Linked DNA regions of Oryzias latipes. The protein of the gene in region 2 interacts with the protein of the main gene of each other region in a biochemical or structural test. Links are inferred from orthologs where the notes say so. Each region holds a gene or a part of one and is shown on either strand. Other genes may lie near its edges. The genes, in order: map3k8 and nfkb1.

Region 1 (4,379 bases), on a different chromosome or scaffold from region 2:
TGACGCGAGCTTCTCTGTGCCTAGAGAAGACAGGCGAGTGCTGACTAGTCCATAAAGTAATTTAGAGCCTAGAAGTCTGCTGACTCGTTAAATGAGTGCATGTGTCTAGTTTTCTTACCTCTGTTCCTCTGAGGTCTCTTGGACTGTAGACGTCCTCCGTCATCTGCACCGCCAAACCAAAGTCCACCAGCACGGCCTTGTCTGACATCAGGACGATGTTGCTGGCTGAAGTGACAGAGACCACAAATTACCGACTCGAAGACACCGTCTAAGCAACTTGAGGAATTTCTGCTGCAGCCGATGGCATTTAGAGTTTTCAGGTTTGTAGTTTTCAGCCCCTCCCCCTCCTGAGCTTGTTTTGATTGTAACAAAGCAAAGGCCACGAAACCTTCAAAGATGTCAAGGCCTAACGGGGTCAGGCCACTGGGTGTGTAAGCAAAGGGCTCAGGGTGAGGGAAAGCCCTTTCCCGGCAACAGCCTGATCATGCTGTCAGAGCCTTGTGTTGACAAACACCACTAACCACGCATGAGGCACAATGCTGCTACTCCCAGACTTAAACAGCAAAAGAGCAGCTTGAAGCCTGGAATTTCCACTCTGTGGCAAGACCGTTCTGGCTTTGATCACTGACATGCTTTGCTCTAAGCTGCATCAAAGAATGGGGCAATGATAGAAGCCTAGAAACACAATGTCATACGGCAGCAAAATGTTGATATGAGTAGGTTTTTTTTTTAAATAATACTATCAAGTCAGTCGAATGTCAATGGTTTGTGGTTGTTTTACGTGAATCACTCCTTCTTGTGCTCCACTATTGTTTCCCCAAACGACATCCTTTAGCGGTTTGCCTCTGACGTAAGGAATGCTCAAGCAAAATGACGGCTTCCTGCTCCTCGGCCTGCAGGAGGTCCATTGACATTTTAGCAAAGTGTTGCATACTCACGCTTGATGTCGTGGTGGATGACGTTGTGCGAGTGCAGGTACTCCAGACCCCGCAGAACCTGCTTGGCCACCCAAATGATCTCAAACTCCCTCATGGGCCCACAGCTGTCCAGCTTCTCCAGGACGGAGCCTCCTTCTCCCGCCTCCATGAACAGGTGGACCGTCTGGTCCCAGAGGACAGCGCCGAACAGCTCAGCGATGTTGTCGTGGCGGAAGCGGGCCTGGAATTCTACGTCAGCCGCCTTAAAGTTCTCCAAGGGGATCTGGGGGGAGAATGGGTGGGGTTTAGAAAAGTATCAAAGCAATTTTTGAATAAATTACAGGAACAATTTTATGTCGTCTTTTTATTGCATTTTCTTTGAGAACATATTTTCGTTTCATGCTCTTGTTTTACGCTAGGATTCTATTAATTAATTCCAGTTCGCATCTTAATGGAATCACTTTAATTATACTCTGATGATAGCTGAAAATCATTCTAAACTCTACAGCTGAGAAATTCCTGCAATTTACCCCAGATCAGCTGTAAAAGGGCAACGCAGAATTTCCTTGCTTACTTTAATCTTCACCCCCCTTTTTTTTTTTGTTAACTTGGTTCTTCTTTCCAGCGCACTGTTCCTCTTTTAGGACAAAGGAAAACTTTGCAAGTGTCATGTGTCGAGTGCACATGAGCAACTTTGCAGCCGTACTTGCACGGGTCGTTCTCAGCAGGGGACCCGAGTTTTGAGAAGCTGAGAGCCTCAGTTGCAGGTGCACCTCAGGCAGAACTCACCAGCTTACAAGCCATTCTCTTCCTAGTGGTGGTGTCCTGAGCCAAGTGGACTTTCCCAAATGAGCCCTTGGGCACGAGGCCAGAGCCGGGATTCTTGTAGGTCAACCTCCAAGCAAACAAAAGCACATCTATGTTGATCTGGTATCGGCCCTTTTTCACAGCCATGTCCTTCTGTAAAGCAGGAAAAGTGGTTACGAAAGTCAAATCATTTGAAATGTTATACAGTTTTTACTTTTAACAGAAAAGAAATATCACCTTATTTAGGAGAACTCCTATTTCCTTTGGCAGGTGTTGCAGGAGGGGCGTCTGCATGCTGGATAGCAGGTTTACAAAGGCCAGGATGTCTGGCACTGTCCCATACCGAACCCCGCTGACCGCGTCCTCCTGCTCAGCCACCATCTCCTCTGTCTCCTCGATCTCATCCATCTCCTCCTGGGAGAGACCCTCTTCATCAAATGATAAGCCTCCCTCCTCTTCCTCCTCCCTAAGCTGATAAAGAGTCTCTGCGGCGTTGATGATTTCCTCTACATTCATGTGCGCCAGCAGCAGTTCCAGTCCAGTGTCGTATTTGTAATCCATTTTGATGCTCTGCTCGTCCTTCTCAGCCTAAAGTCAAAGTGGAGAGCAAGAGTCCATTTTTAGCACAGAAGGGAGCAGTCAGGGCTACAGCATGTGCAGCCAGTACTCTGAGGCTCTGTGCTGTGCTGCAACAGGCTGAGTGCAGCTGGGTGGAGCTTACACCACTGTTTTTCAAGGAAAAAGGCAGATGTAAGCTGGGAAACCCCAGGCCAGCATGGACCTTCACTCCTGTTTATGATTATCTATGCTTAGTATTTGAAAGTTTTTCCAAAAAACATGAACATTCATTTAAGTCATTTTTCATTCAATTGTGTTGTGACAAACAAAATGTTACATCAGTTTAATGATATATATGTAATTATAATTTTTTAAGGCCAATTCTGTCTTAACTTTTATAAACATAATAATAGCGTTGTTGTAATTAATTTAAAAAAAAGTTTAAGAAATGGGTTTTTATGATGATGGTCCACAACAATAAGAGTATCTGCTATTTAAACATGACAGAATTTTTTTAAAAAAAGAAAAGAAACAGGCAAAAACTCACAGTAGTTTCTCTCAGAGCGTCTCCATGATGCGTGTCTGTCTGCTGTCGTCGGCTGTCTATTCGAACTGGCGGACGTGAGAGACCGCTGACTACTTTAGAGAAGGAAGTAAACACAATGGAGGTGCGCGTGGGTTCGTGCTGTGATGTCAGACTCCAATGCTTTGCCCTGTCTTGGTTTCGTTTTCCCTTTTCTTGTTTCCTAAGAAGGAAATTTTTGTTATTTTCTTTATCTTTCCCATTTTTCTAGGTTAAAATAATAATTAATAAAACACGAGTAATCATGCTTCAATTAAAAAAATATGCATTTTTTTTGTATTTTTATTTTTAATTTAAAAAAAGTTGTAAACTTGTTTTTTGGGGTTTGTGGCGCTGTTTCATGGCTTCTCTCACTCGCCGTAGATGAGTTTGTGCGCATGCGCCTTTCAGCTTCGCTCCGGAGGCCATGGCGTCCTCCTTGCCCGTGTGCAGGTTGTCTGTTTGGGGCAGAGCCAGCCTGTTGAGATGCTCACGGAGGACCGACACGGTTATCCACAGACGAGTTGGAACTAACACTACTGCTGCACGGACGGAGTCAGCTCGAAGAGACGAAAACGGTGAGTGTCGTGGAGTTGGAAACATGTTAGCATGGAGGCTAGCCCTGAAAGATGCCGCGACAGTATGAACTCCATAGAGAAAAGCTCAGGTTTTATGAAACAGACGCGGCAGTGGGCGAAGTTGACTTTGTTTTTAATCACAATAATATCTGAAATAACAAGATGAATAACACCTATTATTCGGGATTACGACGGTCTTAAAGGACTGATAGAAAAGTTGATTTGCGGGATTACAGAATTACATGTGGCAGTACAGTCAGTTGTAAAAAAAAAAAAGTACAGATAACAGAATGAGTAACAAAACGTGCACTAAGCACCAAACTTTACTGTCATAGAAACACAATCTGAAATATTAGCTTTGTTAAAAGGAAACGAACTTTATCAAAACAAACGCAATGCAACAATATTATTAAAACAAGGAATTAGTTCAAATGTGAAAGTAAGATCCAAACCCTCACATGCTAGTACCAAAAACACAGCAGCACTATTTAAGCATGGTGGTGGTGGCATCCTGGTTTGGGTCTGATTTAATCATGTTAATTTAGGAAAACTGGGTGAAGACTGATAAATCCTCTACTTGTACTTTTACCATCACTGTCACGGTTGAAACTAATACACTGAAAGGTTGGAACGGTAGAGCGATATCTAACCCAAATCATGAAAGGATGTGTGGTGAATAAATCAGGTTTGCAACCATTTTGCAGCATAACAATTTTGGCATGAGACCCAAATTACTAGGTCAAACTCCTCAGCTCTTTTTAAATAGACAGTGCTAGATCCAAACATATTTATGTCACAATTTGTTTAAAGGTTGCTGAAGGGCATACTTGTTTCCATTTAGCATAACTTGCTAGATTAGAAAAACAAAACAAAAACATATTTCAGATATGACAGATGGGCTTTTTAGGTATTTCTTAGATTTAGATATTTCCTATACATTTTGTAGGAAATCTGCAA
Region 2 (4,472 bases):
GACGCCTTCCTTCAGTGACTACACCCATGCAAACGCCTTCCTGCAGTGACTACACCCATGCAAACGCCTTCCTGCAGTGACTACACCCATGCAAACGCCTTCCTTCAGTGACTACACCGACGCGGACTCCTTACTGATGCGACTACACCCACGCAGACGCGGTACTACACCCATGCAGACGCCTTCCTTCAGTGACTACACCCAGGCGAACTCCTTACTGATGCGACTACACCCACGCAGAGGTCCAACTGAAGCAATTACATCCACGCAGACGCTGTACTACACCACACAGACGCCTTCCTGCAGTGACTACACCTACGCGGACTCCTTACTGATGCGACTTCACCCACGCAGACGTCCAACTGAAGCAATTACATCCACGCAGACGCTGTACTACACCACACAGACGCCTTCCTGCAGTGACTAAACCGACGCGGACTCCTTACTGATGCGACTACACCCACGCAGACGCGGTACTACACCCATGCAGACGCCTTCCTTCAGTGACTACACCCATGCAAACGCCTTCCTGCAGTGACTACACCCATGCAAACGCCTTCCTTCAGTGACTACACCCACACAGACACCTTACTGATGCGACTTCACCCACGCACACGTCCAACTGAAGCAATTACATCCACGCATACGGCTTCCTGCCGTGACTACACCCACGCAGACTCCCCACTAAAGCAATAACATTCACGCAGATGCTGTACTACACCACGCAGACGCCTTCCTGCAGTGACGACACCCACGCGGACTCCTTACTGATGCGACTACACCCACGCAGACGCGGTACTACACCCATGCAGACGTCCAACTGAAGCAATTGCATCCACGCATACGACTTCCTGCCGTGACCACACCCACGCAGACTCCCTACTAAAGCAATAATATCCACGCAGACGCTGTACTACACCACGCAGACGCCTTCCTGCAGTGACTACACCCATGCAGACTCCCTACTAAAGCAATAACATCCACGCAGACGCTGTACTACACCCACGCGAACTCCTTACTGATGTGACTACACCCACGCAGACTCCTTACTGATGTGACTACACCCACGCAGACTCCTTACTGATGCGACTACACCCACGCATACTCCTTACTGATGCGACTACACCCACGCAGACTCCTTACTGATGCGACTACACCCACGCAGACTCCTTACTGATGCGACTACACCCACGCAGACTCCTTACTGATGCAACTACACCCACGCAGAGGTCCAACTGAAGCAATAACACCCACACAGCCGTGGTACTACACCCATGCAGACGCTTTCCTGCAGTGACTACACGCAGACGTCCAACTGAAGCACTTACATCCACGCAGACGGCTTCCTGCCGTGACTACACCCATGCAGACTCCTTACTGAAGCAATTACATCCACGCAGACGCCCTACTAAAGCAATAACATCCAGGCAGACGCTGTACTACACCAAGCAGACGCCTTCCTGCAGTGACTACACCCACGCAGACTCCTTACTGATGCAACTACACCCACGCAGAGGTCCAACTGAAGCAATAACACCCACACAGCCGTGGTACTACACCCATGCAGACGCTTTCCTGCAGTGACTACACGCAGACGTCCAACTGAAGCACTTACATCCACGCAGACGGCTTCCTGCCGTGACTACACCCATGCAGACTCCTTACTGAAGCAATTACATCCACGCAGACGCCCTACTGAAGCAATTACATCCACGCAGACGCCCTACTACACCTACCTGCAGAGACTACACCCACAAGTTAAGAAGATGCTTCACCTGCCAATGTGGAGGTCTCATGACCTTTTGCATCGTGTTCTCATTGGTGATTCCAGAAGCTGCTGAGACAAGAACTTAAGCGAGGTTCTAACAGTTTGTTCTTTAATTGCAGGAACATCTGTGAAAGTGATGATGATGACAGTAGAACCTCCTCCAAACTGAAGAGGCAGAAACCGTCACCATCGACAGGTTTGAATCAACCTTCCCATAACACAGAACCCTCAAAGTTCTGTCTGGCAGTTCAAACCGAAGCAACAACAACAACAACAACAACAACAACAACACAGAGCAGCAGATAAACAAACCAGCTGCCTATTTGTAAACAGTATGGGTGGGGGCGGGGATAGTCCAGGACTTTTTTATGAAAACAAAAATGTTCCCATCCTTCGTGCCAATTATTAAAGCGTTTTTTTCAACTTCGGAATTTGGGTAGGAACATCTGATTGTGCGCGTGCCTGCTGCGCGGGAACTCGCTCAGCCTCCTGAACGCCGCGAGGCTCGTTGTTTACGTTCTTTTAGAACACATTTACACATTTGCTGTCGGTCCCACGGTGAGCCCGTGCGTGGGCTCTTCCAGTCTGACTGCTGCGTTCACGGTCCGGTCCAAACAGTCAGAGATTCCGCCACGTGTTAAACTTAAACCGCCATGAGCCGACGTTCCCTCGTTTCCGAACGTTTTCCGGTCAGATTCTTTATGGTTTGTCTTTGTTGCCGTACTGCCGCGAGCACGCGACCGTCACCTTATTAACACAATAAACTTGGAATAAAATGAGTGTATTTCTACTTTTTGCCTCTTTGTTGTGGTAAAGTCCGCGCGCGAAAACGAATGTCCGAAGAACAAGGAAGTGAAAGGAAGTGGCGTGGTCTGTTCTGACCCGGTTCTTACCTGTTCAGCTCAGGTGAACGTCCGCAGGTGAGGGTTCTCGTGCCGCTTCACCTCAGGGGCTCTCGCTCATTTTTTTGTTTTTTTTGTTTATTATTCTGTCGGAGCGAATTTCTGCCTTTTTTAACGGCTATGCGTCATCACACGACACGAGCGCGTGCCTGCAGCTTCTAACAGCTAAAACGAAGAAACAAATGTGCGCGAGAGAGTGACGTATTGGAGAGCGCGAGCGCAGGTGACAGGGCGCGCGCTAAAGTGAGAATAAAGCAACTTCCTTCCTCTTGGAAATTCCCCGTGACGTAAAAGGAAACAGAGAGCGCGGTAAAACGAGGAGGTGTCACTCTGAGCGCAAAAGCGAAAATGTCCCCAAAAACTTTTCTGCGACACAAACCAAAGAGACGCGCGGAGGATCCACAAACAGAACCAGAACAACAAGACAAACCGAAACCATCAACAGGATCCAGAAAGAGGAAGAATGTAATGTTAGAGACAGATCAGGATTTCCTTTTTAAAAACACACCAACCATATTTATAGACGGGATAGAATTTAAGCTATGGTGTTAATTTCAGGTTCTTAAATGGTTTATTTTTTATCTTCAGTGAGCCGGGAATATTTTTAAAATGTAAGGATTACTGAGGGGAAGAACAAACTAAATATCTGTGCGGACTCTCCTTCATTCTGGATGGATCCACAGCAAAGAAGGTTTCAAAGGAGAAAACATCTTCAGCTTAAATGATGTCCAGACAAGCCTGTAAAGCAAAATACCTTTTCCTGAAACAGATTCAACCCTGAAGGATATTTGTACGAAAAGGTAATGTAGGCTCTGGGTGGTCAGGAGAAACTCCCAGATGAGGCAGGTAGGAGTGTACTTGGTCATCAGGACGGAAGGATGACAGGAGAGTTGGTGGTGGAATGAGGAGGTGCAGGAGTTTCTACAGACTAAAGGCCCGTACACACCGGGACGAATATTCGCCAGGCGTTATTCGCCAGCGTTTTTCGCCACGTTTTTTGTGTTCACACCCAGGCGATTTTCGCTGACGATGAGCCGAGCGAACATGCAATTTCATTCCCTGACGTTAGATGGCGCTTAATGTAAAACAGAAATACTCCTGTACACAAGGTGGCGCTGCGCAACTTTACGATTCTTAAAGTCGCTTTTCACTCTGAAAAAGAGAGCAAGTATTTACGCGCTAGTCAGAATAATACAAAGAAAACATGAATATTTCAAGCACCAGTAGCTCCAACTGGTGCTTGGTAAGGGGATATTTTAGAATGTCCGTCATTATTTCTTTGCGGCAGTGTTGACGCTACTTGGCGTCTAACTTCTTCGCTGGTATGTGTGCTCAGCAAGGCAGTTTTGTGTTTGAGCGCCCCCAAGTTGTGTTTTACTGTAACTTCAGAAGCTCCAGACACGTGAGCAAAAGCGCCATTCTCATTGGTCGAATAGATTTCGACGAGACGCGTCGGAAAAAAAAAACGAACCCGAGGCGTTTTTTTTTTTTGACGCTTTGGCGCTTGGCGTTTTTTCGCGTCGGTGTGCACACTCACATTGGTGCCCTTTGTTTAGTCACGAGGCGTTAAACGTCGGCGAAAATCGCCGGCGAAATTCGTCCCGGTGTGAACGGGCCTTTAAGAGGGAGAGACTGACCTGTACAGATGAGCAAGGCAGAGAGAGTGAGAAAGGAAGGGCATGCAGCAGGTTAGAGTGGCTAAGGGTTGGGATGGTTACAGATTGACAGGTGTCAGAGAAGACTTTGAAGAGTTGAAGGAAAACGCCTTCCTTCTGAAGGAATCTTTTCTGGATTGAGCTGGG

The links.
Region 1: the proteins of nfkb1 (region 2) and map3k8 form a complex in vitro, tested with the Homo sapiens proteins (2 studies listed by BioGRID and IntAct, with this or other methods). The link is inferred for Oryzias latipes from reciprocal best matches to the Homo sapiens genes NFKB1 and MAP3K8.

Annotation. Positions count from the first base shown.
Region 1 is NC_019878.2:7,520,346-7,524,724, forward strand, and holds the start of map3k8 (mitogen-activated protein kinase kinase kinase 8), read right to left. Parts: upstream 2,995-4,379; 5' UTR 2,830-2,994; intron 2,313-2,829; 5' UTR 2,286-2,312; coding exon 1,962-2,285; intron 1,878-1,961; coding exon 1,707-1,877; intron 1,201-1,706; coding exon 939-1,200; intron 226-938; coding exon 119-225; intron 1-118. Other genes in the region: mtpap (poly(A) RNA polymerase, mitochondrial), read left to right, coding at 3,272-3,422.
Region 2 is NC_019868.2:30,825,098-30,829,569, reverse strand, and holds the start of nfkb1 (nuclear factor NF-kappa-B p105 subunit), read right to left. Parts: upstream 2,917-4,472; 5' UTR 2,662-2,916; intron 1,756-2,661; exon of another isoform or gene 1,737-1,755; intron 1-1,736.